Oryzias latipes: one gene and its partner. The protein of the gene in region 1 purifies or fractionates together with the protein of each later gene. This does not show direct contact. Links are inferred from orthologs where the notes say so. Each region holds a gene or a part of one and is shown in the gene's direction. Other genes may lie near its edges.

Region 1 (4,422 bases):
CCGGTGCTGCAGAAGAAGAACAGCGCGAAGCAGGCGATGCAGGTGATGACCAGCGACATGGACATGCAGATGAAGAAGGAGGCGGCTTTGAACGCTCCGGAGGGGATGCTGCTGAACTCCGTGAAGCTTCCCTGACAGGTCAGGTCCCGGGACAGTCCGTTCCCGATGCAGTAGTGGAACAGACCAAAGTAGCCCGCCTGAGGCGTGTCTGCGCCGTCCCCGATCCAGTACGGCTGGATGAAGCACACCACGTTGACGATGGCGAAGAGGATGGTGAATATCGCCCAGAGGACGCCGATGGCCCGGGAATTACGCACGTAGTTGGTTTGGTAGATCTTGGCAGCCTCCGAGGCGGGAAGCATGGTGGTGGTCGCGCTGGGGGCCCCGGGGACCATCCTCCGGTGTATGTGAGGTAAGAGACTTAAGATTTGCACTCAGTAAACAAACCTCTTCCTCGTCAGGTAGTAATCTTCATCAGAACTAGCTAATTTTCCTGTTTTACGTGGATGCTTTACGCGTCTTCAATGCGCGCTCGCATCCTTGACTTGAGCCCTCTTTGCGCTTTCCTCCTTCATCAATCTACGGGAGAAAAAGAAAGACAATCTATTGAAATGCTTGAGAAATCCTCTCTGCAGAAGGCTTCCTCTGCCCGCTCCCCTGATGTCTCCTCCTGGTGTTTCTGCCTGAGACGATAACACCGCTCCAGCTGCCACGAGTGGCTGAGATGTGGCTGAAATGGTCTGTGTGCTCTCGACGGAGCAGCAGCCGCGGATGAGATCCTATTGAATTAGAGTCGGAAGATAGTTGCGGATATTACACAGGCAACTCACATCCCTTAATCCCATTCTGACGCATTATTCCGGTAACGCGCGTAAATCCCGAACAGACACATTGATATGAAAGCAAATGCGAAGACTAAATGCTTTTGATTTTTCTGCTCGTCAATCCAGTGCGCATGACTGATACGATCAGCATAAATACAAGTTCATAAAAAAACAAGGATGCGCTCTTCCTACATATACAATTTTAAATAGGTTCGTTTACAAAATTTCTGAATTGTAGTCTATTTTCAAAATATAAATGTTAGGTATTCCTAATTAGTTTAGTTTGGTTAAATTTAATTATCATATTTCTTAAAACAAACACACAAATAATCCTAAAAAGGTGAAAGGTTAGAGACAATAAAATAAGTTTTATTGGGTAATGGGTAAATCAGGAAGGTTATTTACAATACAGATTAGCCAAAATATGTATAATTACTCGTTTTAATAAAAAAAAAATCATTCTTAACAGCTCATACTAGATGCATACTCTCCAACGTTTTTAAAATTACACATCATAATTATGAGATATATATGAAATAAAGTATAATTATTTATTTCGTTTCTTTTTTTAAAATACTTTTTGATTTAAAAGATGTCTAAAGTTGTTTTTTATTTTATGTTTCGGATTTTTACTACATTACCCAGAGTTCCACAATACTTTTCTGATTGGATCATACGGAGGCGGAGTTTATGACGTAATCCAACGGCGCGCAAAGTGATCGCAGCCGGTTTCAAGTACATTTGCTCGTTTTTCCTCGATAAAAACGTAGTTTTTGAGGAGTGTTTTAAAGTTTTGTATCACGCGCTTTCTTCGACTTAACGACGTCAAGTTCACTTTTTTGCCGCTAACGCTGGCGACCGTCATCTTTATTTTCGTGAAAGTTAAGCTAATGTTTTGGTTTGTTTATTAGTTTAGCTCCTCGTGGCTTCAACTATAAAGTTAGAACCAAGAAAAGCAGAATGGCGGGACTGTTAGAGCATCCTGGATACGACGAGGAGAGGCTGAAGAGAGCCGCAGAGCAGCTGCCCTGCAGAGAAGTTCAGGCTGGGATGTTGCTGTCCCTTATGGGAGAGGTATGGGGCCGTTAACTCAAGGAAGGTCCACCTGATAACAAAATTCCCAAAGCAAAACAGTGTAATTATTAGTCAATGTATTTATAAAATAATAATAATAAAGTTTTTCATAAATTCTCATTCTCGTGTTAAAACACCAGTCGGAGTTGCTTTAATACCCACTCTGATTCATTAAAAATTGTTTGTAACATGTACTTGTGGCATTTTTCCAATGTTCTAAAAGTATTTCTTTATTAAAATTGTGATCCAGGACCAGACGAAAAGGCTCTGTTTGAAAAAGATCGTATATTTGTGATGTAGAAAACACACAAGCTCCCTGCTCAGCTCCATTCTGATGCACTTGTAAACAAATAGATCCATGTATGTCTTTGTTTTCTTCGCCCAAACTAGTGTCTGGCGCCCAAATGTACGGCTGGATATAGCTCCAATATTGCTCACCCTTTTTGTTGCACCAGTAATGTTAGTTTGGGTGTTTGAGAAAGATAGTGGGAGAGTGTAAACAGAGCTGTGGGCAGGGTTACTCTGTGCCAACAGTCTTTCCCACAATCAGACGTGAATTTATAATGAATTACTGCCGCTCTGCAGAAACTATGTCTTAGAAAATGTCAGAGGGTTTTTGATTTTAGCTAAAAAAGGGCATCATCATAATTAAAAGACCACTGGGAACACTTTGTAAATAAATCAAAAGATGAATATAGTAGGTTGTAATTTTTATTATTATTATTATTATTATTTAAAAGTGTGTTCATGAATAGGAATTTAGTCTTTGTGAGACGAGATAGATTAAAGAGACTTTGGACAGAAACGTAGTCGTATTGTTCTTGCTATTTTTAAATTCTTACTTAAAATATAGAGACACACCTTGCACAATTACAGACTACCGTATTTTCCGGAGTATAAGTCGCACCAGCCCAAAAATGCATTATAAAGTAGAAAAAAACACAGATAAGTCGCACTGGACTATAAGTCGCATTTTAACTTTCACAACCTTATATGACACAATCATAGCAGACTGTTTATCTAATAATTTCACAGTAATTTTTTCTCAAACTTATTTATTTATTCCTTTCATGAAGCATCATTGGCTAACTAATACTCTGTTTTCATCCTGTATTTGTAGAAACAGTTTTCACTTTTATTGCATTTCTGAATCTATGAAATCTTTGGAAAATAGAATATTATGTTGTTAGCCTTCAAGATCTAACTGTAAAAAAAAGTTTGCTGATTCTCTGAGTCACTGAACATACTCTTAACACTTAACACTTACACTTAACACTTACCTCATACATCAAATTGACCCAGGAACATCATCTCTGTTCCTCACAAATGAACATAACAGGAGGGTTAACAATGTATTTATTTCAATTTATTTCTAATATAAGTCGCTGCGGAGTATAAGTCGCACCCCTTGCCAAACTATGAAAAAAAGTGCGACTTATAGTCCGGAAAATACGGGTATTTAAAATAAATACAAGAACTAAAAATAAAAAGGGAAATTTGGTGAAACAGGTGAGATGGACTTTAAAAATATGGAGTCACATTAGGCTAATAATTTCATTAAATAATGGACACTGTACTGAAATATGATATTTCTCTAAGTGTTACTCAAATATGTATATTTTGTATGTAATGATCTTGTTTTTATACTATTTTAAGCTGCCTTACAATCATCTTGAGCGTCTTGATAAGCGCTTCAAATAAAATAAAGTAACCCTTTTATTCTTGGGCATTTAGGTGATGACTAATATAGTATTTAGAGCATTTTTCAATGTATTATGTTGTTTTTACCTAGTACTGGTGCAATGATCTAATATTATTGACAGTAACATTCGTGTTATTTTTCTCTTGACAGCCACACCAGTACTGCTACCCCTCAATCTTCATCTACGGTCATCGGGCTTCAGGAAAAAGCCATGTAATAAATGTTCTGATGAAGGAGCTGGAGGTGATGTCTGTTAAATCCGTGGTTGTTTTGGTTTAGATGTGGTTTCTCAGTGTTGTCTTTTGACAGCGTCAAAGAAAAGATGGATTCTGAAAGCTTTTTCTCCTTAGGGTTTCATCTTTTTCGAAGTTGAAAGGATAATGAAGGAATGACAACAACAAGAGAACACGGGGTTTCTTTCAATAAACACTGAAAGAGTGTTTAGTTAATTAAACATTGCGCTTTTTTCAAGTAAATAAGTGGATTCTGGTGATGTCAATTACATTTGTGGGTTACAAAAGTAAAACGTGAAAAAGATGTGTTTTTGCTAAAACCAAAGGATTATTTATCATTTACATTTAATCTGCAAAAGATAAAATCCACCCTCTAAAGTGTTGTCTTTGTTTGGGCAGTATGTTGTTGGGTTTTTAAAAAGTAGCAGCTGGGATTTTTGTGCCATGTGATGTTTTTTTTTTTTGTGCATCCTCCAGAGTTCTCAGTTTCCTTCTTACACCTCCTCTTCCTGCAGCTTCCTCACGCCACGCTCAGCTGTGTCGAATGCGTTTCTGTCGCGCTGCTGTTTGAGCAAGTCTTGCGGTCCTT
Region 2 (4,534 bases), on another chromosome or scaffold:
AACTCTGCAGACAACTCCCTGTAGGTGCTGCACACCCGGCGCTTGTGAATATCTTGCCTGCGAATGGCGTGCTTCCATCGATGCCTCGCTTCGCCGTAAACCACGACTAAACATCTGCGTGGAAGGCGAACGGCCACATGAATTTCCTCTGACAGTCCCAGCTCTGGCAGACCCTGCTCAAGCGACATGGTGAGTGTGGTGTCTGATAGCATGTTGATGGTGACGAGTCGCTCCCCCCAAAGCCAGGAGTCATCAAAGTGCGGGTCTATGGCTGAGCCCCTCTGAGGGTTGTAGTCCAGGTTGCACTGCTCCACTGGCTGAAAGCCAGACAGGCATGGCTCTTGCTGCATCCGTAGTACGAGTTCTTTGCTCAAACTAGGGAGTCCACTGAAGCCACCCACACGCACTTTTCTTTTTTTAAAGTTCACCTTTGGACCAAAATCCTGCAACCAAAATGAGAAAAATGGTTAAATTATAAATCAATGTACTTAATTTCAATGTAAATCTCTCATCATGTCTTTTCAGAAGAAAAAATGTAAACCTTTTTAATCTGACTGGGAGAGCATTACCTGTTTCCTTCGACCAGACTGGGATGGGTTCCAGGCATCCTGGTCCATTGAGTTAATCAGCTGCTTCTCTTCCTCTTCAGATATAAAGTCGTCCCATAGGAAGATACCAGGAAACGAGAAGGATGCACTCCCTGCATCTTTGCAGACAGCAAGCTTTGTCTCAGGATTGTAGATGAAATGATGCGCCGCCTAAAAAAAAGACAACAGTAAACAAATGTCTATTTATATAAATTATTACTTCACTTTTAGCCTCTTTGTAGGAAACTGAGGCAGTTTCATTCACATACTTCAGATAATGTGCTCTTTCTTTTAGCAAATATGTTAGAAAATTACATTTTGCTTTTAAACAAAAATATTAAAAATGTGGTGTTTTTTTTAGATCGCCCAAAGTGAAGTGTATTGTTCTATGTGCTGTTATGTTTAAAGTTATTCTGTTTTAGGTTTGTGGATTATTAACAAGAAACACTCAACAACAAAAAATAAAGTCTTAAAAAAAAAACAACAACTTAAGTTAATGTGAGAAACTAGTCAGGTTATTCTACACTCTTCTTCGTATAAGTTCGTAAGAAATCGTGAATAACTGTTTTAGCTTTTTGTTGTTTAGTCACACAAGTGGGAAAAATATTGGTATGAATCGGAACGACTGACAAAAGCAAACAAATTGTAACTTAAAAATTTCATGGTAAATAAAGTATTCACCTAGCATATTGATGCTTTGAGATCATGTATTTTGTCCAGCGAGGACCTCCGTACATTTGAAAGAAGCGCAAACAGGTAAATGCAGGGGGTTCAAATACAATTAATTGTTAGTTTTAGTTAAATACAGATACCTTTGGATCTTTTGTCCCCTCTTTTTCTTTGCGATTTTCGCACAAAAGACACAGCCGGATCCCTTTACATCCGCATTGAGAAACACCGTCGCTGCCGTCCGGAGCCATCATTCTGAGCCAACCGGAACTAACGTCTTGTGGGTTAAAGGTATATGCTTGTATGGTTGAAAGGTAGAGGCGCAGGATATAATTATAAAATAGTTAGATTTAGAAACCTTATCTGTAAACATTTAATTTTTTAGCAGCACACAAAATAAGTACATTCATATTTCACTAACTTTATTATCATTATCCACAATCAAATTCACTTTGAAGCTATTTTGCCTATGAGTCAAAGCTCAGGGTATATAAAACAGCACACACCGGATATAAACATTTTCCCCCGGAAGTAGACATTTTCCCCGCGAAATTTTTAGTGTCGCGTTTGTGTTCGTGTATCCTTGGTTGGTGAGTTTTTTTTATGTCCAAATTTTACGAGCTTGTAATTGCAAATTAATGAACTGAGTATATTCGTAGATTCAACAATGTTTTAATCGATCTTTCGTTAGATTTACTTCAAATATTTTAAAACCCAGAAAATGCGTCCAAACAACAACGTCAACTTGACCGTCAACGTGGCTAAAATATCTTTTGTAACTAAGATTACGTACATTATTTAGTATCACATAAGTTTAGCTAAAAATACAATCCTTAATGTAACGTTTTGCACAGTCACTTTTCCTTGTTATAATTAAATAATGCATCGAAATTTCCAAAAGTTCTAAACTCAAAGCTATTCATGATGATTGTGAAGTATATCTTAATAAAATAATGCTTTTTAGTACTTTTATTGTTGTTGTTTTTTTGTCTTACTTTGTTCTTATCTTAAACCATTGTAAATCCTGCCTTCATTGTAGCGCTTTGAGATTTTACCCAAAATATAAAGCGCATTCTAAATAAAATTTATTATTATTATAAAAAAAATGTGCCTAATTCCCTTTTGCTCGTTTTGTTCTTGTTTTGTGCTTACCGCTTTAATGTATGTTTGTCAATTTATGAATAAAGGTGGGAAAAAATGATTTGCTAAAATAGTTTTGCTCAATTTACTTATAAAACGTCTTTAACCTTTTGTTTTGTTAGTTTAAAACATGTTTGAGTGGCAACACATCATCTCTTTTTGGCTGTGGTGTTCAAATAAGCTTTGTGTTCACTTTAATTTAGTTAATTTTATAGATTATCACCCAACCAAACCTCTGAGGGACCCATCATTTGGCAGAAAATGTAAATAAAGTAGTAAGACAACATTCACCTAGATTTACAAACCTAACATTTAATTTGTTGAATCAAAGCAGAACAAAGAAGCACATTACACCCCACTGCAAGTGATTGCAGAGGTAGTATAAGGACGTTATTTAGTCAATATGACACATCACAGAAGATGCAGCTATAACATAAGTTTACCTTCTAAGTGTTTTCTTACTGTTGGGCAGGATCAGGTCATGTCTATTTTGAGAAACTTAGTTTCTCGGTCTTTATATGTTTCAATTCTGTTGTTTTAACTGGTTGTGCAGATTAAACTAAAGTGTATTGTCATTCATTCAGTCAATCCTTTCCTGAATTGTATCTGCAGTCGAACAATGGAGAAGATAACAGAGAAACTTTTACTGGAGAAAGGAACCCCAAAAACCAACAAACTGGAGCAAGTCAAGACACTAAAGTAGGAACACGTGCAGCTCTTGTACAACTACACTGTTGTAGTTGTGTTTTTGTTTTGCTTGGTAGTAAACTACTGATAGTTACTTGGACATGCAGCAAAGAATGTATTTAAAACTCTTTAGGAATAAAACCATTCTGTGTAGAGCAGGGGTGTCCAAATCCAGGCTAGTTTTCAAGAAACCCTGCCTCATCTGCTGTCGATTACCTGATTCGTGTACCGGTATGTTCAGCCAATAAGGAACGTCAATGGCAGGATGGTTGGAAAACACCGGGACACCGGCCTTCGAGGCCTGGATTTGGGCACCCCTGGTGTAGAGCCATCATAATTACAATAGAATTGTTTTTAATTGCAGGATTTAAAAAAAAAAAAAAAACCGAGGACAGCATTGTATTTAACATTGTATGGTGTAAGGAACTGACTTTGCTCTGTTCTTTAGTCTGTCTAAGCTGGGTCTTCAGCTTCAGGACCTGCCTGTTAAGCTCCTGTCCCGTCTGCAGTCTCTGGAGAGGCTGGACCTGTCTGGAAACAGACTGCAGAAGTTCCCCAAGAACCTGAAGCTTCCTGTGCTTTTCTTCCTGGACCTCAGCGACAACCAGATGGAAGATGTCACCACCTTGGAGTCTCTGAGCACTTTGGAAGAGCTTAAGATGGATGACAACCTCTACATCACAGTGAGTGCTGTTCCCCCTCTGCTGTTTTACAGAGAAGGTTTCACACAGAACAACAAATGGCAGTAATGTCACACAGGCACATAAATTATATTAAAAAAAGGATTTAAAGCAATTAACAAAGTAAAGGTATTTAATTCCACTCTTTTTGTTTTATAGACATGAAGTTGAATGTTATCTATGTTGCAGGTGAGTGATAATTATAAGCTGATGGTGTTGCTGCCTAACTTGAGGATTTTCAATGGCAAAGACGTCAGCACAACCGCCAATCATTTACGATTCGTCTACAGCGACAACCTGAGGACCAGGGTAAGAAACTGCCTTTTTTGAAAGACTTAACTTCAGTTAAAATTTGTGTTTTTGGTGTTTTTAAACTCGATCTTGTGTCATTTTTTTTGTTATGACGGAGTACATATGTTAAGAAAATGAAGTTCAAAATAGAATTTCTGAGTATTTCTTTATTTAAATTGTTGTGAATCAGGAGCAGACAAAAAAAATGCCATTTAGAAAACGTCATATTTGTTTTGTAGAGGCTAGAGTTGGCAGGCTGCCTGCTCTGCTCCATTCTGATTCATCAACTTGCAGTCAAATAGATCCATGTACATCTTTATTTTCCTGTCTGAGCTGGAATCTGGATCAAAGCTGTACGGCTGGATAGCTCCAATATCGTGCGCCATTTTTTGTTGCACCGTTAACGTCAGGTTGGGGGTGTGAGGGGCTGTGAGCTAGACGGAGAGCATGTTAACAGAGAGCTCTCACCAATGGGAAGGC

Evidence for each region.
Region 2: the proteins of orc5 (region 1) and lrwd1 purify together in Homo sapiens (affinity purification with mass spectrometry; 4 studies listed by BioGRID and IntAct, with this or other methods). This does not show direct contact. The link is inferred for Oryzias latipes from reciprocal best matches to the Homo sapiens genes ORC5 and LRWD1.

What each region holds. Positions count from the first base shown.
Region 1 is NC_019881.2:17,806,280-17,810,701, reverse strand, and holds the start of orc5 (origin recognition complex subunit 5), read left to right. Parts: upstream 1-1,502; 5' UTR 1,503-1,784; coding exon 1,785-1,898; intron 1,899-3,750; coding exon 3,751-3,843; intron 3,844-4,348; coding exon 4,349-4,422. Other genes in the region: LHFPL tetraspan subfamily member 3 protein, read right to left, coding at 1-395. UniProt on the Homo sapiens protein: Component of the origin recognition complex (ORC) that binds origins of replication. DNA-binding is ATP-dependent. The specific DNA sequences that define origins of replication have not been identified yet.
Region 2 is NC_019872.2:25,209,524-25,214,057, forward strand, and holds the start of lrwd1 (leucine-rich repeat and WD repeat-containing protein 1), read left to right. Parts: upstream 1-1,510; 5' UTR 1,511-1,547; intron 1,548-1,767; exon of another isoform or gene 1,768-1,846; intron 1,847-3,008; 5' UTR 3,009-3,015; coding exon 3,016-3,095; intron 3,096-3,531; coding exon 3,532-3,766; intron 3,767-3,952; coding exon 3,953-4,072; intron 4,073-4,534. Other genes in the region: alkbh4 (alpha-ketoglutarate-dependent dioxygenase alkB homolog 4), read right to left, coding at 1-443, 570-758, 1,400-1,510. UniProt on the Homo sapiens protein: Required for G1/S transition. Recruits and stabilizes the origin recognition complex (ORC) onto chromatin during G1 to establish pre-replication complex (preRC) and to heterochromatic sites in post-replicated cells.